4 linked regions of the Arabidopsis thaliana genome follow. The protein of the gene in region 1 purifies or fractionates together with the protein of each later gene. This does not show direct contact. Each region holds a gene or a part of one and is shown in the gene's direction. Other genes may lie near its edges. The genes, in order: CYCD3;1, KRP6, CKS2 and AT5G02220.

Region 1 (5,874 bases):
TCTTCATCATTACCTTCTTTTTCTCAATCTCGATTGTTTTCTTCCAAATTCATGTCGATGATGGCGGGTATACAAGGCCAGATTCTCGAGGTCACTGGTTCGTACCTTTCTCACATCCCCAATTCTATTATGTTCTTCAACCTTATCTATGATCCGTTGAAATGTTAACTTTTAAAATTTCTGGGATTCTTTTGATTTGTCAGTTGTTGGGTGCCAGAAATTGAAAGACACGGAATGGTTTTCAAGACAAGATCCATACGTCGTCCTTGAGTATGGTGGCAGAAGTCACCGTACCAGAACCTGCACAGGTTATTTTTAATACCACCTCTTTTATTCATAATTTGTTCAGATCCAGAAAAAATTGAACAAAGTTAAGATCTTTCAATGAATTTGATTGATGGGTTTGTTTTTTCAGATGGTGGAAAGAACGCTGTTTTCCAAGAGAAGTTTATCTTCACTTTGATTGAAGGGCTTAGGGATCTTAAGGTTGCTGTCTGGAATAGCAACACTCTCTCCACTGATGACTTCATTGGCAATGCAACGTATGTGTCACTTCTTATCATTGCCTTGTTATGCTTTTTAATACCCGCTTTGGATTTGGAATTGAGTCTTTTGTTGTTTGGTTGTTATTAGGATTCAATTGCAGAAAGTTCTTTCTCAGGAATACGACGACTGTACCTGGACTTTGCAGAGTAAAACTGGGAGGTAATTACATTGGCTTTACTAGTTTTTGTTCCTTTTCCATTAAGTATCATGTTTGGTAATCTCGATTATTGCATGGTTCACATTTGTCTAGCTGATTTTGGTGCAACTTTTTGATGTGGTTTCTACTATATAGTGCTTGAATATATAGTTTCGCCAGTTGCTTTGCTTTGCTTTGCTTTGTTCTTGTCATTTACTTACAGTGCTGACATGGTTTTGCTCACTGATCAGAGTCGTTATGTGTGTTTTTGTGTCCTAAATTGTTAATCTGTGTGAACTACTTGTTCGAATGTTCTGTTTCTACATTGAGCACACTCACAATTGATGTAGCATTTTGATTAGGTTTCTCTGGAACTTATGAAAGATAACTAGACATTTTGACATAAATGGAGCTTCTATTGTCTGTTGTTAGGTTACCTCAGTAAAGAGATGTGAAGTTGCGTTTAAACATTGTAGCATCAAATTAGAATTTCTTAAAACTGGTCTCTTGAGGTATTCCATTTTTGTTTTTGAAAAAGAGAAAGTTATGTGTTTTTTAATCCATGGCTATGTGTTTTGTTTTCTTAAATTCCTGGAAAATCGGTTACAATGTGCCAAGATTTTGGTAGCTTGTCCTCAGCGATTGCTCCTTGTAAAAGATTACTTTTTTGATTAAAAGCCTTGTGAAAAACATCAACCTTTCTGTCTTGTAGATTCGCTGGAGAAGTACAACTCCTACTGCATTATGCGGGAGCAAAGGTAAGTCGAGCCTCAATTAGCAACATTGGTTAACATGTTCCATTATAAACAAAAGGCTAAACACACAATCCACTCTTGTATGCAGAAACATAATTACGGGTCTGCGCCATCAGCACCGTATGCACCTCACGTACCTCAATACTCAGCACCGCCTTCTGCATCTCCGTATTCAACAGCACCACCATACTCTGGACCATCTCTATACCCACAAGTACAACAATACCCTCAGCCATCAGGATACCCTCCAGCTTCAGGGTATCCTCCTCAGCCATCTGCCTATCCACCTCCCTCAACCTCGGGCTACCCTCCGATCCCTTCAGCTTACCCACCTCCTCCGCCATCCTCAGCTTACCCTCCTCAACCATACCCTCCGCAACCATCATATTACCCACAAGGTACCTTCCTTTCTTTCCTGTTCTATGCTGCAATTGATCGCATTTGCTTGTCTCTAACTATAGTCAGTGGTGGTTGATCTTTTTTCTTCTTGTTTCCAGGTCCATATCCAGGACAATACCCACCTCCTCCATACTAGAGCGTTTGGCGTTTAGAATTTGACGGGAAGTGGTCATGATGTATAGATTATAGTTATGGTGTTTTCTAGAATTTGGCAGACGAATTTCTTTGTTTTGTTTTTTTTATATCATCTTCCTTGTGCTATTGCTAGCGTGATGGTTAATTTTTGAGTTGGTCAGTGAAACTTATTGAGAAGTTTGGATCTTTTCATGTTTAACCAGATCGCAGATTATATTGAATTATTACTCTAAATCCTTGGTTTTGTGTGTTCATCATCCTCTTGAGTTAAAATTATGTTAAAAACAAAAAAAGGTTTTGGTTCTGTCTTTAACTTTAAGAAACGGAACTTATCGGCGTATAATCATCGCACTTGTGATCAGATGCAATTAGAAAAAGGTTATTTGGTCAATGTATAGCAATATCTTTAGGTTCTAACAAAAACATTATTGTTGACAAATAGCCCAAAAGTAGTAGAATTTAGCCGACAGATTTTACTGCACTTTGGTTTCTCGATCTCTACTCCAAATGAGTAAAAAGTGGGTAAAGCGGGAAACAGCAAAAGAAATCACACATTTAATAAAAAATAAAGAAAAAGAAATTCCACATTAAATAATCACAACAAGAAAAACAAATAATATATTAGTAAAAGACAAACGTAAAAACCATCTCTCGGCCTTCTCTCATAAATCAATCTCTCTTCTTATCACTCTCCGAAACCCACTTCCAGCTTTTTCCTCTCTCTTTCTCTCTCTAGTCTCTCTTTTGTAGCTCTCCCCTGCTAAGCTAACCACTGCACGTTTCCATAGAGAGGAAAGATGAGTCTCTCTCCGAGAGATTTTCTCTCTATCATCTTATCTTCTTCCGTGTAATGCTCTGAGCCAAAACCCAATAACTAAATCAACAACAATATAGAAGAGAAGAGAAAGATCTTATCTTTCTTCTCATTCTTGAGTTTAGTCCCCCACAATGGCGATTCGGAAGGAGGAAGAAAGTAGAGAAGAACAGAGCAATTCGTTTCTTCTTGATGCTCTCTACTGCGAAGAAGAGAAATGGGACGATGAAGGAGAAGAAGTTGAAGAAAACTCTTCCTTGTCTTCTTCTTCTTCTCCATTCGTTGTTTTGCAACAAGATTTGTTCTGGGAAGATGAAGATCTGGTTACACTCTTCTCCAAAGAAGAAGAACAAGGACTCAGCTGTCTCGATGATGTTTATCTTTCCACGGATCGAAAAGAAGCTGTTGGTTGGATTCTGAGAGTCAACGCTCATTATGGCTTCTCTACTTTAGCAGCTGTTTTAGCCATAACTTATCTCGATAAGTTCATCTGTAGCTACAGCTTACAGAGAGACAAACCATGGATGCTTCAGCTCGTTTCTGTCGCGTGTCTCTCATTAGCTGCTAAAGTCGAAGAAACCCAAGTCCCTCTTCTTCTAGACTTTCAAGTAAATGATGATACTTGCAATAAATTTCCTTAAAGTTTAAGTCTTTTATCCCTCTGTTCTCATCTCTCTGTTTTTTTGGGGGTTTGCAGGTGGAGGAGACAAAGTATGTGTTTGAAGCAAAAACCATACAGAGAATGGAGCTACTGATTCTGTCTACTCTCGAGTGGAAGATGCATCTCATTACTCCAATTTCGTTCGTAGACCACATTATCAGGAGATTGGGACTTAAGAACAATGCTCACTGGGATTTCCTCAACAAATGCCACCGTCTCCTCCTCTCTGTAATCTCCGGTTCGTAAACGACAAAAAGAAAAAAGCCACTCCATTTCGTTTTACCATCTGCTGAATCTGAGTAATCATCTTACATTCTTGTCTTATCTTCCTCAATTGTCTTTGTCAGATTCAAGATTTGTCGGGTACCTCCCATCAGTAGTTGCCGCAGCTACCATGATGCGAATTATAGAGCAAGTTGATCCCTTTGACCCTCTTTCATACCAAACTAATCTCCTCGGTGTCCTTAACTTAACCAAGGTTAGCTTCTCTAATCATCTCTCTACTTGTTTTCACTCAGTCATTTTCTCAAACAACTCTCGTGCATTAACAGGAAAAGGTGAAAACTTGCTACGATCTAATCCTCCAACTACCAGTGGACCGCATCGGTTTACAGATCCAAATCCAATCTTCCAAGAAACGCAAGAGTCACGATTCATCATCATCGTTGAACAGTCCAAGCTGCGTGATTGATGCAAACCCTTTCAATAGCGACGAAAGCTCAAACGATTCGTGGTCAGCGAGTTCGTGCAACCCACCAACGTCGTCGTCGTCCCCGCAGCAACAACCTCCATTGAAGAAGATGAGAGGAGCTGAAGAGAATGAGAAGAAGAAGCCGATTTTGCATCTGCCATGGGCAATCGTAGCCACTCCATAATCGAAAGCTCGATTTCGTTTATATGATATTTACTGTTTTTTTAAACTTTGAGAACAATCTTTGTTGTATTAAGCTTTACCCGTTTGCATATACGAAATGTCGCGAATGCCCTTACGTGCCATGGCTTGATAGAGTTAATGGGTAAAGGGTATTCATGACATTTGACTGCATGGGATGTGACGAAGGAGAGAATTAGAAATAATAATAATAATATTGCGTAAATTTTGAGGCTTGCCCAATCTTTGGGCCGTAATCTCCGGCGTTATTCATATTTTATTAATGTTTTATATTATGAGTAGTAGTATGTTCTAAAATCTGCTTTGCTGAAGGAAATAATAATTACATACATATTCTTTTACTCCTGTAGTTTAGGAAAGAAAAAAACGCATTTAAATCCGTGCTATTTGATAACTACATTTTTTTCGTCCAGAATGGTGGATAATACAAAATTTAAGAAATGAGATGTCACAATGTTTTAATATTTGAATGAGACTGTTGTGTTTATGATCGAAAGTGAAAGATTTAGCGTTTTTAGCTTTGACTTTTGGGAGAAGAGCCAATTGTTGCTGCTTTTTTTGTCAGTCTTTAAATATAATCGCTTTCAAAGATGAATCAATAATTAAAATTTTAAAACGGAAAGACAAAAATGAAAACGTAACACTATATTATTGCTTTAGATTTTTTGTCTAAAGTCTTGTCAAAACCTGCTCTACACTATATTATTGCGTATCAAATAACTAACTACACATGAACATGTAAGTTGTCGAAAATAACAACATATAATTATAAATGTTTTTAAAAATCAAACAGCGAAACTTAAATCAAATCTACAGAGTGTAGATCTTTCGTTGACCAGTAGATAAATTAACTGCGACAGACAGACACAGGACAAGAAGGAGGAAGTGAAGTAAACGCGCCATATATAGGTGAGTGTTGTTCGACGACGATAAAAATGTGGTGCAGCATTAGTAACAACACCAGAACCAAAGTAACCTGCTTCCACTCTGAGCACCTGGGATTAAGACACGTGGCAAAAAGTATCCAGCGTTACTATTCTTTTTTTCTTTTAATAACATCAAATAATCGTCAATTAATTACGAAAATTGAAGATATTAAATTTAACAATTTACTATTATAAAATCCCTTTTGTATCACGGAAAAGCTTATATGATAATGCGATTGAATCACGAGAAATTGATTTTTTTTTTTTAAACAAAACTTTAGGTTGTGTGAAAATCTTGGCTCCTTCTTTTACACTTTTTCTTTTCCAATTTTATTTTCTCTTTGGACTTTTTATTTATTTATTTTCTTGGCAATAAAAAAAGAGAATTTAAATCTATAACTTTTTTCACGTGTGACACGAATTTTCTACTTTGGGGGATTCAGATTCATCGTTCTTTTTCCTTTATATTCTCAATTTCATTTCGCTACTTAGAAAAAAAACGAATTGCTTTAGCTGATGTCGTTTCTTAACGCTCAGCCTCACGTCATCAAAGCATTTAAACTCCCCTCGTTCATGTAATCTTACATTAATACGTATGCGTAATGCGTTT
Region 2 (5,504 bases), on another chromosome or scaffold:
TAATATACTTTGGTCATAAATACGAACTGTAGCTAGAGTGATCGACCTGTTTGGCTTCTTCTTCTTTCTTTTTATTGCTTATAATATTAAAAGTCATGTTCAAACTTGGTTATATATGATAAGTGACAACAGAGAGAACCAGGTTCATTTAATTTTAGATTCAGATGAACAAGAAATGTGAATTTATGATCACAGACATAAGATGAGTTGCTGTGTATCTTCTTTAGTCAGTACTGGTCCTTTTGTCTAAGAAACTGTAACAAAAACAAGAACAACAGATATTAGAAAGAAAAAAAAAAGATGGATTGTTTTAAAAGAATTGCCAAAGGCATGAAAGAGGAAGAAACATATATAAGTAAAGATAAAATGTAAGATGAGACAGTTTCACAGATCCCGACCTCAACTGAAAATAAAGCTCACCAACTAACAGTCTACTGTAAAAAAAAAAGTCCTTTAAAAAGTGTGGATGACAAAAAAAAAAAAAAAAAAATGAGTCCTTAAAAAGTGTATTTTTACATTGTTTGACTTTTTCTTTTTCATCTGTTAGAAAACTCCAGCTCCTCTATTGACTTTTTTTTATGGCAATCAGGTGACCCAGTACAGAATTCTCAAGAATCAAGATTCATGTAATTTCGTTATGGTCATGTATGTGTAAGATATATTGTAGGGATTCTTAGGGTTTAATCCGGTCTTTTGTTTCATGGAAGATCTATTAAATAAATATTAGTGTATTATCTCGTTAGAATATCATTTTTTTTCTTTCTAATAACCTGTATTTTATCGGATTTGAATTCGGATCGTGAAACGATATTTAATAAAACATACTTGGTTACGAGTACTAGTTATAATCACTTTTTTTCTTTTTATATCTAAGTATTGCAATCAAAATTTTCTTGGCAGTCAAAATTATTTTAATCTTGACATAGAGTTTTCTACATAGTAAAAAATTATCTTAACATACAAATTAATAGTAGGAAGTGACATAGAAACTATCTTAACATACAAAATCAACTTATCTTTACATTTTTCTAACTAGCTAATCAACAATGTAACAAAAAAATATTTGATTATTGATTGATAGTGTTATTATATATTCATACAAATGAGAAAAGATTTGAAATGATAGGCGAAATTTTTATTGAAAAGTTCTATCAATTTTTTTAAAAGTTTAGGACGACCCTATTCAGGACTATATATGATCATATGGATTACAATGGTCACTGAATAAATTATTTTGAATTATATCATTCCCTCTTGATTTGTCTTAATAATTCCTAAATAAATGCCTAGGTCAGCGAATTCGTTGTTGCATCAGTCACTTAATTATTACTCGATGATTCCTTTTATTACTAAAATTTATTGAAAATGGTCCCATTTATTGGAAGAATAAAGAAGTAGTTACACTAAAATTTAATTATAGTATATGCTTAAATTTGTAAACCGTTCTGGCCATTTTGTATATATATATACATATATGGGCTCTTTAAGACGAGAATTGAGTTTAGTTGTTTACAATTGGTTTTAACTGTACGGACAGTTTAGTTGAGCTTTAATGGCTCATTCTCTATGGTGCTATATTATGGTTTTAACACATGTACATTATTTCATAATACATATGTCATTAAAATGACATAGAGGACAAAATCTGTTGTTGATGTGTATCTGATCAGTGGAAGAAACTTACACATGCATGGAAACTTTCAAAAAGACAACTAAGCATAAACAAGAGATTAATTAGACTTAAGCTGAGTTAGTCTCTATATGACATAATTGATGTTTCTACTAAGCAAACCCCAAACTGTTATTCCCTTTCCAGATTCAAGCATTATTTGATTCGTCATTGATTTCATGGTCTTGGTGATGATACGAACCAAAAAGTTGTATAATTGGTTTATAAGATGTAGGTTCTTACAAAATTGACTATGTAACAAAATTATAGTATTGTTTTAAACGTAAATTAACGAGGCGCTTCTAGACATGTTCCGACAAACATATATAATAGTACAGATGATTTTATAGAATGTAGTTAATCGATGTATCTTCTGCTATAGGTATCTCTAATTTATTGTTCCGACCACCACAATTCTTTTCTAAGTATTTTATAAATTGGTTAACCATGTATCTTCTGTTGTGTAATTATAGCTAGTATCTTCATTTGAAATATTGTAAGGAATAGTTTGTCTAATTGCTTATGATATTTGACCATCTAAGTAAGTTTATGAACTAATTGTTTTTCAAAAAAGGTTGATTAACCTTAATTACGTGATAGTTTTAACATTAAAAGATTTCAACACTATGTTCTGGATGTTAACATATCCATCTCAAAACCATGATAAAACGCGTACAATGGAAGGGATCAAGCTAATTTGACAAATCTCTATTCACACCTCAACCATTCATATATATACCCTCGATATATGTCACATCATTGGTTTTAGCTTTTAATTGATTCTCATAAAATATAAAACCCAATTACGAGAAAAGACTTGTTCGATGGTTCTCATAGACCCTGACCAAATAAGACTTGTTCCTAAACAAATCGAATTAAATAGAGTTGTGGTTTACTCATACTTTAAATCGTTTTAAGAAAAAATAATGACTACTGTTACGTTGCTACTACGTCATAACTACCGAAAATGATTGCGTTTTCAATTGCTTTGAAAGGAAGCCAAAAAGGCAAAAACGGCAAAAAGGGAGAGAAAACGCGTTTGGGAATCTCAACGGCGTTTGTGTAAGAAAATAAAAGCGAAACTCCGTAACGGCGCCGTTATATACCATAACCTCCGTCCGCTCACCAAGGAAAATAAAATCTCAACCGTTGAAATAATCAACGGCTCATGATTCATTCTCTCTCCTTCCCCACCAAAATCTCCTCTGCTTTGTTAAGAAGCGAACCAGAAATAGAAAGAAAAAAAAGCAGAGAGAGAGAGCACACAAAAATCCAAGAGAGAAAAAAATGAGCGAGAGAAAGCGAGAGCTTGCAGAAGAAGCTTCAAGCACAAGCTTCTCACCACTGAAGAAAACGAAGCTTAATGATTCTTCTGATTCATCACCGGACTCTCATGACGTCATCGTCTTCGCGGTTTCATCTTCTTCCGTTGCTTCGTCGGCGGCTTTAGCGTCTGATGAATGTTCCGTTACCATCGGTGGAGAAGAAAGTGATCAGTCCTCGAGTATCAGCTCCGGTTGTTTCACCAGTGAATCGAAAGAAATCGCGAAGAACAGTTCGTCGTTTGGTGTAGATCTGGAGGTGAATTTTCAAAATCAAATAACTCCTCTCTACTTGAATCGATTTAATCAGACGATTTTCTCAGTTTTCGTTTTGATTTTTTATTTCCGTTTCTGTGTTTCAGGATCATCAAATCGAAACCGAAACCGAAACCTCAACATTCATCACCAGCAATTTCAGGTTCATAATCTTTTTGTTTCCCCCCCCCCCCAAATTAGACGTTCAATCGATTTTATTCTCCTTGGCGATTTTTTCTCTGTTTTTTATGGCAGAAAAGAGACGAGTCCAGTGAGTGAGGGTTTGGGAGAAACGACAACAGAAATGGAATCATCATCGGCAACGAAGAGAAAACAACCGGGGGTGAGGAAGACTCCAACGGCGGCGGAGATTGAGGATTTGTTCTCGGAGCTAGAGAGTCAAGACGATAAGAAGAAGCAATTCATAGAAAAGTGAGTCCATTTTTACAATTTCATCATCTCTCTCACGTGTGTTCTTGTTGTTGTTGTGTGCGCTTTGCTTTTTGGGGTTTGGGAAAAATTGGAGTGAGTCCGTACCTAGAGAGAGAGAGAGAGGAATGTGAGTAAAAATGTCTGCGTGCGCATGATAAAAAGATTAACCGACGCGTAGTTTAGCAAATATCCTAAAAAGAGAGAGAATCAGAATCCTAACGAACACACACACTTTGGCACAGGTACAACTTCGATATTGTCAATGACGAACCGCTTGAAGGTCGCTACAAGTGGGATCGACTTTAAGCCATCAAAAAGCAAATACCATCCATGAAGAAGACAAAAGAAAAATAGGTTTTGTTTTTCGTGGTTAACATTTCCACTTGTACAGCTCTAGTCTATTTCTCTTTAAAAACCTATGTTACTAGTTCGTACAAAACAAAACAAAAAACACGACCTTTATAATGAAATTTCGGATCTTGGCTACTAATTACGGTGATTTCGTTGGTTTGTTATGTTTCTGTTTTAAAATCAAAAATGGTTTTGGCAGAGTTTTAAGTGCATGAATATAGAAAGGTGCTTCTTGTTTGGATTCTTTTAAAACATTGGATGCTTAATTATTACAATTATTTTATCTTACTCAAAACTATTATTTTTTGTTTGTCTCATGTCATTCTTATTCTTACACTTGCAGTTTATGTTATATTTAAATGTTTCATGTCATATAGTACCCAATTTACAAAAATATCTGAAACCAAAAATTGATGTTTTAAAAAAAAAATTGGAGAAAAGAGGAAAGGTACATGACATGACGGCACAGTAATACAGTTGGTTTGTACTTCTCTAAAAACTGCGATCATACAAAATACAAATATTATATTTTTTCTATTTTTTTCACTAATATTCTTTTATTTTATTTTGGAATATTCCTCTATTTTGGCACTAAACACAGGGTCCACTTAGTTAAAACCATTTTGGCCTTCATTAGATAAAACCAAAAAGCGGCCTATGCGGAGTAGTAATTTATCCTAATGAAGTGTGTTACTGTAACAAAATATCATCAATGAGTGATACTATATAAAAACGATTACATAGGATATATTTACGTGGATTAGCTTTTTGGTAACGCATTAAAAAAGGTTAATCTCATCATTGCATGGTTCCGTTGGGATTATATTTCTCCTTTGAGGCTTTTTTTTTACCATGTCTTACATAGCAGACACAGCCACGTGCTTCTGTTTCCACATTTATTTTTAAATTATTATATCATCTTCTATTTTTTTGTTTAATTAGTAATTTACAAGCTCGAGTAACAATTAAATAGAAATGTTGGAAAACATTGAAAACGAGAGAAACTACAACCCAAAATACTAATGATAAACAAAACCGGGAAGTGTATCTTTAAAAGAACGAACTTGTGGTTGCTCTAGTTTTGGGCCCTGGGGGCTTTGTTTCAGACCCAATACTTTCTTTAATCTATCGAATTTTTGGATTATTAATTAGAACTGAATTAGGATCTGGTTTCAATATTAATCCCTTAATACATACCTATAAAAAGGTTATTAATTTGAGAGATTGATATTGCAAAAGTTTTTAAGATGAACGAAGATGCTCTCGAAGCTGTACGATCTCGCACATTCTTCGCGATTCTGACTGTGTTTTATTCTATATTTCGTTGTTGTCTTGCTTATTGCAACAAAGGTGACGATGATCATCTGATTCATCCTAGTCATAGTTTACATGTCATAAAAGCCACTGGGATCAACCCTTCCGTTCTTTTATCAATTCCTGTCGTATCTTTCAACGCTAATGCCTTCAAAGACAAT
Region 3 (5,116 bases), on another chromosome or scaffold:
GCATTCGAATTGTCAGCTCTTTTGTGACCGAGCTCCCAAGTGTATGCGTGTTATGCAGGTGAATATCAAGCTTTTCCATTATTTCTAGTCTCTTGATGTCTTCCTTCATAGTGTCTCATTAAAAATGTTTAGTTGAGAAGATGTGTATTGGCTAACTGAAACCATTTGCTTATGAGACTGACCTTTGCTTAATTTTCTATGTTGTTGCAGAGGTCATAGTTTTTGCAGGTTGGGCTTTAATGCTCGCACTGTGATTATCTGTGATCAGGTACTTTGTTGTTCATTGCTGTATAGGGTTCCTTGCCTCTTAAATCTGCTTCTGGTCTTCACCATTTTTGGTTTTGTTGTTTTCTCCTCAGTGTGAAAAGGAATTCCATGTTGGCTGTTTGAAAGAACGTGACATTGCTGATCTCAAGGTTCTTTGCCTATTTAGCTCTTTCATTCCCTCGGGTGAAAACTCAGTATCTATCTTTCTCATTCTTGTTATGTCTTAACAGGAGCTACCTGAAGAAAAATGGTTCTGTTCCCTCGGGTGCGAAGAGATCAACACTACATTGGGCAATCTGATAGTTCGCGGAGAAGAGAAGCTAAGTAACAATATTCTGAATTTTTTAAGGAAGAAGGAACAACCTAATGAAGAAAACTGTCCAGATTATAAAACCACTCCTGACATAAGATGGAGGGTCCTTAGTGGGAAGTTGACCTCTTCAGATGATACCAAAATATTGCTTGCAAAGGCACTTTCCATTCTTCATGTAAGTCAAGACCACATTTCAAACTCTTCTGTCCTTTCTGCTGTTTGTCCCTTCTAACAATTGTATGCTATAGGAACGGTTTGATCCTATCAGTGAATCTGGGACCAAGGGAGATTTGATACCAGCCATGGTGTATGGGTAAGCAATTTTGTATCTTCAATCAGTCGAGTGGATTATTCTTTGTGCTGATCAACAACTTTTGTGTGTGGAACAGAAGGCAAACAAAGGCCCAAGATTTTAGTGGCATGTACTGCACTATGTTGGCTGTGGAGTAAGATTCTTCTTCTTTTTCACTCTAATTTATTTTCTGTGACGCATGTTTCATCTTTTTAATGTTGTCCTTTTTTTGTTTCTTGTGCAGCGAAGTGATTGTTTCAGTGGGAATCTTTAGGGTTTTTGGGTCAGAACTTGCAGAACTCCCTCTGGTTGCTACCAGCAAAGATTGTCAAGGGCAGGTAAACAGTTTTTATCTGGAACCTTGGATGTTTTTTCTTTACAACAGGTGCCTACTCCTATAGAATGGTTAATAAACGACTCACTCTTACTGTCAATCCCATACATTGATAAATTATACAGTGATACATCTAAGCAGACATGTTTTTGTGTCGAATAGCTTAAGAGCAGAACAATGTGTAGCATCTTAATTGCAGAAGGAATTTTTTTGTGTCAAATTGTACCTGGGGGATGAAATGCTTGTGATTGCTCTTTTTTGAGAGTTTGAGAATTTATGTTTTTTTTTTCCTATTGTAGGGTTACTTCCAATGCCTGTTTGCTTGCATCGAGAGGCTACTTGGGTTCCTAAACGTGAAACATATCGTGCTACCAGCAGCAGATGAAGCCAAATCCATATGGACTGACAAATTTGGTTTCACCAAGATGACCGACGAAGAGGTATATATCTATATCCATATAAACTTATATACACTCCCAATGAATCCCATCTCTGATACACACTGTGTTTGTGTGTTATTAGGTGAAAGAATACAGAAAAGACTACTCGGTGATGATCTTTCATGGAACATCTATGTTGAGAAAGAGTGTACCAGCACCGAGTGCCGTGAGTAAAACTGAGGCCAGTAAGGAGGAGTAAGCTCAAGGTTGTCTTTGTTTTTTGGTTTTTGGAAAGTTGGTGAAACGATTGGATGCTCTTTTTTAATCTAATTTCGGGTAGTAGCCACGTTCTTGTACAGGTTTCTCCCCTAACGTGTCTTTCTTTGTAATGGAAACTAGAGAGAAAGATACACAAAAGGGTTAGAGAATTTGGTTTTGGTAGAGACGAAGTAGAGATAAGAGGGGGAAGTAAATGGGGAAGTCTAAAACATTAGGGCATTCTTTTGGGGGTTTAGTCATGATTATCCGAAGCTAATTTTTTTTTGTATATTAGTGCCCAAAAATGAAATTCAATTTTCTGAAATCTTTTTCTTTTTGTCACTGATGTTTATATATCGAACAAAGGAGGTATACAAAGCCGGCGAGTATACGGACACCTGAACTCTGACTATAAGAGGAAGATACTGATGCCTTTAGAAATGAATCTCTGAACCGGGAATTATACCGGTTTGATTAACGTCGAACCGTAATCAAAATTTTAGGGCTCCACTAAGCGGGAAGGAGCGCCTCTAAGAAATTTGAAACTCAAAAAAATCAAAACACCCGTTGAGAAAATGCCCCTATAAATCCCCATAATTACTTCCTTACCACAATGCCTTTTTAATTCCCTTTCGCTTTCCCTCTTCTCCCCTAAAATTCATTTCGTTTCCGATCGCACTTCTTCTCAAGGTCTGCTTTACTTCCCGATTCTTAGATTAGGGTTCGATTTCTGATTTGTTTAGGTTCTCGTCGTTGTTTAGGGTTTAGATTACTGACAGATTGCTCCATTTCTTTTGTTTAGTAAATTTAATAGACGTTTGTTGGGTGATTTAAGAAGATGGGTCAGATCCAGTACTCCGACAAATATTTCGATGATACTTTCGAATACAGGTGATTCTCAGTTTGATTCTCCTCCCATTTTAATGGAGTTCTCTCTCACGTTTTAGTTTCAGTCTAATCGCGTGGTCTTTTATTTTTCTCTCAGGCACGTTGTACTTCCTCCGGAAGTTGCTAAGCTTTTACCTAAGAATCGTATTCTTTCGGAAGTAAGTTAAAAATTAGGGCTTTCCTCTATTCGCTGTATAACCCTTGAATCATCGTAGGCTAAGAGATTTACATGTTTAAGAAATTAAGTTAGGAAATTGAAGTTTGGACTTTTGAGAGTCGAAGAAATTGAAGTTTCTGCTTAGGAATTTGAAGTTTTGCTTCTCATTAACTTGTTTATTAACTTTAGGTTGTGTAATTGTCAGCAGTGACGAAGATAGTTTAGATATTTTTTTGTGTTATCAGTCAATTCTCAGTTTTCTGATTTTGAAGTTAACAGTTTTCTTGTTTTACAATCTGGTTTTGTAGAGTGAATGGAGAGCCATCGGAGTGCAGCAAAGTCGTGGATGGGTTCATTACGCGATTCATCGTCCTGAGCCACATATCATGCTCTTTAGGAGGCCTCTTAACTACCAGCAGGAGCACCAAGCTCAGATTGCTAAGTAGAAGAATTATGCAAAATTCTCCCTAATCTCTGTTTATGTCTCTCGTAAACGAGGTTTTAAAATACTACTCTGATGTTTTGTTCCTGTAGTTTTTTTTATTGTGTTCATGAATTCTCTTCAGTGGAGAATCATGTGAGTTTGGTAGAACAACTTTTAATGTTATGTTAAGTCTGGTCCTTTGCTAGACTTTGGTTGGATCCACGTTTGAACTTCTTCATGGTTAAGAATGAAGACGTTATTTCTCATGCTTATGTGCTTGTTTCATCATTTCAACCTCTTTTTATTGCTCCTCTTAGAGTCTTAAGTCCATAACTATGAACAACAAACAAGGTATCATTACAATGCCAATCTGAAGGTCTAATCACGATTCTCATGGCGATACTGATTCAAAGAAACTCATATTGTGTCTCAATCACCACATTCACCAAACACCATATATTCCTTACTGTACTACTATTAGTGTATTGAAACCAGGAGATTCAGAGCCATTTTTATAAATTAACTAGATATGTATCTTATACCTAGTGTGAAGCACTGATTGTTGGAATTAAATGAAATTTCGAGAAAATGAACGAGTTCGTAGTTTGATGGTAAATAACAAGGTCTTTGGTCAAAGCAACCAAACAAGTTGTTGAATTTAATTAGAACCAAACCAATCCACCCAATTTCAATTCATTTTGGTAACTAACCGGTTTATAATCATTCATACCCAATCGGCGTCTTCTAAAGAATTTCAAAACTCTAAAAAGTTAATCAAACACCCCTCTATTTCCTCATAATTACATATCTACCCCAAACCACTTTATTCTCCTTTCACTATCTTCCCCAAATTTCAAACGATCAGATTACAGATTCTTCAATTCCTCTTTCCCTTCTCCTCCATTTCCTGATTAAGGCTTCACATCTCTGAGAGAGAAATGGGTCAGATCCAATACTCCGAGAAATACTTCGATGACACTTTCGAATACAGGTAAAGCTCTTCAATCTCGCTTCTTCTTCCTCCAATTTTCACTCTCACTTCTCTAATCGTAATCGATCGATACAGGCACGTCGTTCTTCCTCCTGAAGTCGCTAAACTTCTTCCAAAGAATCGTCTTCTCTCCGAAGTAAGTTTTTTTCCGCATTGTTCTCTGATTTCTGATTCTAAATCCTTCGATTAGATCATCGAAGACTATGAAAATTTGTTGCTCTTAAGAAATTAAGTTTGGGAAAAATCGAAAAAGAGATCGTTTAGGTTTAGGATTTGAATCTTTGCTCTGAATCCAAATTGCAACTGTTACGATTTTGAATCTTTGCTTTGGGATTTTGTAAGGTTTAGTGATAAAGAGATTTTAGACATTTGTGTTGTGCAATCTCTTCAATGTTGTATTGATTGGTGGTGATGGTAAAAATGTTTGGAATTTCGAAGAACGAATGGCGAGCGATAGGAGTGCAGCAAAGCCGCGGATGGGTACATTACGCGGTTCATCGACCTGAGCCGCACATAATGCTATTCAGGAGGCCTCTTAACTATCAGCAGCAGCAGGAGAATCAAGCTCAGAACATGCTTGTTAAGTGAATCATTATCATCACCTGAGTAAGAATGTTATATGCAACAATTCTATGAGTATTGGTTTATGTTTCTTGTAAACATGGTTTGAATCTTTGTGGTTATGGATGAATATGTGAGAGTTGGTTTGTTGAACAACTTCTATGTAATGTTAGTCTTGGTTCTAATGTCATCTTCTGCTTCTTAATTACTTATTTCTCAAGACATTTGGTGGTAGTTTAGTGTCATCCAAC
Region 4 (4,285 bases), on another chromosome or scaffold:
ATTTTGTTTTTTTTGATTAATTAAAGTGGCAAATAATTGGACTCTTGATCGTGAAGAAATACGAACAGAAAATCAATAAACGCAAGTGTCCCGATTAGAAACTTTGGTAACTTTTAAAAATGTTAGATATTTGTATGAAATTCCTCTTAATTAAATAATTTAATAGTTTTTAGAATTACGTGTATAAAATGTCACTTTGATCAATAGGATTTAAACTATAATTGGTGATTCTGATTTTGACTAATATAACTCTTATTTTTCCTGAACTGTTGCATTTATATCAAAAGTAGCTAGTTGGCATTGATATTGACGTCTTTGCTCTTTTTCTTTCTTTTTAAATGGTTATTTCCGGGTTTTCGATTAGTCATTTTTCTGTTCTTATTGATTAACTCAATTAATCGTCAATATCAAAATTACTCACGAATATAATTAAAATTAAATTAAGTAATAAGAGCTGTAAGAAGAGAAACACAAAGCATCTTCGTATAAATTTATACTAAATGTAAACATACTAACAACATTAACAAAGAAAACTCCATAGAGGTCCAAGAGAAGAGGTTAGATTAGTTTGGAATATAATAACAAGGGAAAATAATTAACTAAAGCTATTCTGCTAGTACAACGAGTTACGATAAAAGTCAATGTATTACTTATCATATAGTATTCATATTCAAATCGTGTTAGTGATCATATAATATTTTTTTCTTTTGGCGTATGAATCAGAAATTTATGTGTAGTTTCGTAATTCGGACTCATAGAAAAAAATTGTCAAGTCGTGGTGAAAAGGACAATCACTCAAAACTAAAGGCACTAACAAAATATTTTGTCACTCATTCGTCAAAACTTAATTGATACTATAGAAAGACATCAATATGACTCATGTATGTAGACTGAGACTCCACTACAAATTGTAGACTACAATCTCCCTGTTATTTCTCTTTTTTTTTTTTTTTTTTTTCATATATCAATTTTATATTTTTTTAATAAAAAAATCTGATAACTGAATCTCCAAAATGAAAATTAAATTACTAGGAGTCCAGGACTAGGTTTCGTTTGATATAAAAGTGGAGCCGCAAGCAATATTGCTTGATCAATTAGTATTATATAATGGTAAAAACTAATAACTAGGATTATTGTATAATTTGTACTCATGATCATCGAGAGTAGAGAATGTGATAGGCTCTCCATGTTCACATATATATACGTTGACATTTCAGTGAAACAACAAATTGCAAGAAAATTTCCTTGAGTACAACAAAGACCTGCAAACAACTCTATTTCCACATAAAATTCGTTGTTTTTATTATTTAAATAAGAAGCTCTACAATACGTCTACGTTGTAATTTAAAACGACAAGTTAAGAACTTATCTGAGGACCATTTTAACCGATGTTGAAACTAGAAGACCGAGTCAAGTGAAAAGGATTAGTAGTTGACAACAACGAAAAACATGAAGTTACAATAAACTAATTTTAATTATTAATCGCCGGAGCACCCCACATATTCTCGGAGCTCTTTTCGCCGCCGGTAATGTTTATTTTAATGGGCCAAAACGGATATATTATATAGTTAATCAGATTGGGCCGTTTAAGTTTTTTTGGGTTTTTTGCTTTCTTCTTGGGTTTGACCGATTGATACTTTTTGTGGTTTATGGGCTTCTCTTAAATTTGCTACTATAATAATTTTTTGATAATTTTATATTTCTAAAGTTTTGTTATACCATAATCAATATATAATCTTGACAAAAATCAATTACTTATAATTTTTATTTTTTGCTACGTTGGCTTGTAACTGGAGGACAAGAACAACGGTAACAGTGAGAGTGCGTTTAACTCTCAGAAATAAATCACGTGAATAACTTGGTGGAAGACCGCACGTGCCACCCTCGTGATTCATTTCCAGAAGCTATATAAGGATTAAAAAGATACCGGTTTACAATTTCGGTTTAATGTTACCAAAACCGATCGGTATACGAACATAAAATTTTCGCTGCAAAAAGGAAGGAGTCCTTTTTTAATTTTCCCGCCCAAAGGGACTTGCTGCGCAAGTTCGCGCCGTCACAAACGGATAAATTACAGATAAAAAATATTATTAAATATGATAAAAGTGGACAAAATATATATTAATATAATAAAGATTTACCAATAATGATAGTGGAGCGTGAGAAACGGTGCGGTTGGGTCACGCGTTACTTAAATTTGGTGCTACCAACCACTAAAATTCCACCACGTCAGCATAGCCAGCTCACATCAAGCTGTTTAAAACCATATCCACCGTCCGATTGATATTTCAGAAAGAGCTTCGTGAGAAAGATTCCTTTTTTGTTCTCCCTCCCAAATTTCGAATTTTTTAAAAGGAAATAATCTGAATTTTTTTTTTTTTTTTGATATATAAAATAAAGATGTAACCGCCTCTTCTCAGACTTCAAATTTTTTCCCTCTTACGACGATTTCGAGTTCGAGAGAGAAGAATGGAGGTGGTGGAGAGGAAGACGGAGATGGCGGAGGAAGGATGTACGACGCCGAGAAGCACGATGTATAGGATTCCGGTGGCGTCTGTTTGTCCACCGCCGCCGAGGAAGAAGTTGATGGTGGTGAGAAAACGAGATCCGCCGAGGAACGGGTACTTTCAGCCACCAGATCTTGAAACTTTGTTCTACGCACAGCCTCGAAGAGAAGCTTGCGCTTAGATTTTGAGATTTGATTTGATTTGAATTATCTAGGTTTTTTTTTTACTTTCTTCTCTGTAGATACATGTTTAGGGTTTGTTCTCTTATTAGATTTTATTTATCTTTCAGAGAGATGACTTTGTTTGTGTATCGAAATTGGAATTTGCTAAAATGAAACTTTGATCTGTTTTCCAATTCGAAATTTGTTGGCTTGTGTTCTAGATCTAATTAGTTCTTGTCGGAGATTGAAAGATTGATTGTTAAACTCTGATTATGCTGTTTATTGATTAGAGAGTTTTTTTCAACTACATAATTGGGTGAGAAAGTGAGGTTTAGAAACTGTGAACAAGACAACATCAAAAGCTTAACGAAAATTCAGATGAACCAATGTCTTTATTTGCTCTGTTTTTTTGGTTATTCATAAGTGTTGAAAAAGTAGTGCTCAAACTCTTTGATCAATGGTTGGTTTTTGAGGTAGTTTCTTCGGAATCTGCAATTCAAATGAATGTCATACAATTTTGTAATGCGTGACACTAAAATATTGACTCATGTAGGTGAGTAAAGTCTTCAACATCTTCGTGTGTTTTATGATTAACTTTGGAACAACACTGGTCCAAGCTTGATGTAACATAACCAGAACCATAACTTCCGGTTGAATGATTAGACATGTGTCCTTGCCGGTTTTTGTGTCCCAAATAAGGTTCTGGGAGAGACGCAAAAGGGGAGGTCTCATTGCCGGTTTTTGTGTACTCCATGGCTCCATGGCATATAAGAGCATTTCAGCAGATTCTATGTCGGATGAAGAATCAGGAAGAGAAGCTTGTTGCTCCAGACAAAAGTGCTTCCGTAGGGGTAAACATGGCTGATTCTTCAACACAGTTTCCTCTTTTTGCTCTGAGTCACAAGGTTTCCGCAGTGACTATCATCAGATCGTTGATATCGCTGAAAGCAAATAGTCGTATAGTAAAGGTCATATATTAACTTATTTTCCATGAGAGTAAAGAGATGACTATCTACAATTGTAACTTCCAAGTTAATTTCTTAAGTATAAAGTATCCACACCGTTTAACTAAAGACAACATTTTACATTTAACATAGGTACCACTGAGATGAAGAGGAAGGATCTCTTAAAGTACAAATCTTGTTAGTCCAGAATCTAAATCCACAAGTACTTTGTTTGAATATAGCAAAGATAAGCTATGCTAGCTATACTTACGATTCAAGTGTTCAGTATCTCGTAGGCCATCAACATGTTGCTATGCTAGCTATACTTGATAATCCTAACACCAAAACGCACTACTTCACCTTTAAACACAGTGAGGAAAACCATCTAGCACCTCAGAGGCACGATACTTTATAGCTCATGTAAATAACCATTCACAGAAGATGAAAAAAATGAAAAGCAAAAGGGAAATTCCGATTCCGAGCAGAGTATATGAGAAACTTGGAGTGATTTTTCAGATTCAAGATACAAGTTTTTCGAAAATTTGTTACCAGATTTCAATCAATGCAAATATTCATACAAGAAACCAAATTTTTTTTTGTAAGAAAATTGTAATATCATCAAATACCAAGTCTACTCGACGTACTCGTTTAATCCCTAAATATATATATCTTC

Evidence for each region.
Region 2: the proteins of CYCD3;1 (region 1) and KRP6 purify together in Arabidopsis thaliana (affinity purification with mass spectrometry, with the first as the bait; 2 studies listed by BioGRID). This does not show direct contact.
Region 3: the proteins of CYCD3;1 (region 1) and CKS2 purify together in Arabidopsis thaliana (affinity purification with mass spectrometry, with the first as the bait; 2 studies listed by BioGRID). This does not show direct contact.
Region 4: the proteins of CYCD3;1 (region 1) and AT5G02220 purify together in Arabidopsis thaliana (affinity purification with mass spectrometry, with the first as the bait; 2 studies listed by BioGRID). This does not show direct contact.

The regions. Positions count from the first base shown.
Region 1 is NC_003075.7:16,354,984-16,360,857, forward strand, and holds CYCD3;1 (CYCLIN D3;1), read left to right. Parts: upstream 1-2,437; 5' UTR 2,438-2,919; coding exon 2,920-3,393; intron 3,394-3,482; coding exon 3,483-3,684; intron 3,685-3,793; coding exon 3,794-3,924; intron 3,925-3,997; coding exon 3,998-4,321; 3' UTR 4,322-4,582; downstream 4,583-5,874. Other genes in the region: AT4G34150 (Calcium-dependent lipid-binding (CaLB domain) family protein), read left to right, coding at 52-97, 204-308, 416-542, 634-705, 1,395-1,440, 1,526-1,835, 1,935-1,972. UniProt on the Arabidopsis thaliana protein: Involved in the control of the cell cycle at the G1/S (start) transition. Activates the G1/S phase transition in response to cytokinin hormone signal, but declines in response to sucrose starvation leading to G1 arrest.
Region 2 is NC_003074.8:6,615,108-6,620,611, reverse strand, and holds KRP6 (KIP-related protein 6), read left to right. Parts: upstream 1-2,660; 5' UTR 2,661-2,956; coding exon 2,957-3,250; intron 3,251-3,353; coding exon 3,354-3,409; coding exon of another isoform or gene 3,410-3,501; coding exon 3,502-3,678; coding exon of another isoform or gene 3,679-3,682; exon of another isoform or gene 3,683-3,920; coding exon 3,921-3,984; 3' UTR 3,985-4,282; downstream 4,283-5,504. Other genes in the region: DNF (RING/U-box superfamily protein), read left to right, coding at 5,277-5,504. UniProt on the Arabidopsis thaliana protein: Binds and inhibits CYCD2-1/CDKA-1 complex kinase activity. Regulates cell division which is crucial for plant growth, development and morphogenesis. May inhibit CDK kinases specifically involved in the G1/S phase transition.
Region 3 is NC_003071.7:11,910,679-11,915,794, reverse strand, and holds CKS2 (CDK-subunit 2), read left to right. Parts: upstream 1-2,369; 5' UTR 2,370-2,534; intron 2,535-2,646; 5' UTR 2,647-2,682; coding exon 2,683-2,735; intron 2,736-2,829; coding exon 2,830-2,890; intron 2,891-3,197; coding exon 3,198-3,335; 3' UTR 3,336-3,644; downstream 3,645-5,116. Other genes in the region: AT2G27980 (Acyl-CoA N-acyltransferase with RING/FYVE/PHD-type zinc finger domain-containing protein), read left to right, coding at 1-58, 211-268, 360-416, 498-755, 829-893, 970-1,026, 1,117-1,210, 1,506-1,646 and 1 more; CKS1 (cyclin-dependent kinase-subunit 1), read left to right, coding at 4,252-4,304, 4,380-4,440, 4,743-4,892. UniProt on the Arabidopsis thaliana protein: Binds to the catalytic subunit of the cyclin dependent kinases and is essential for their biological function.
Region 4 is NC_003076.8:440,287-444,571, reverse strand, and holds AT5G02220 (cyclin-dependent kinase inhibitor), read left to right. Parts: upstream 1-2,384; 5' UTR 2,385-2,469; coding exon 2,470-2,688; 3' UTR 2,689-3,120; downstream 3,121-4,285.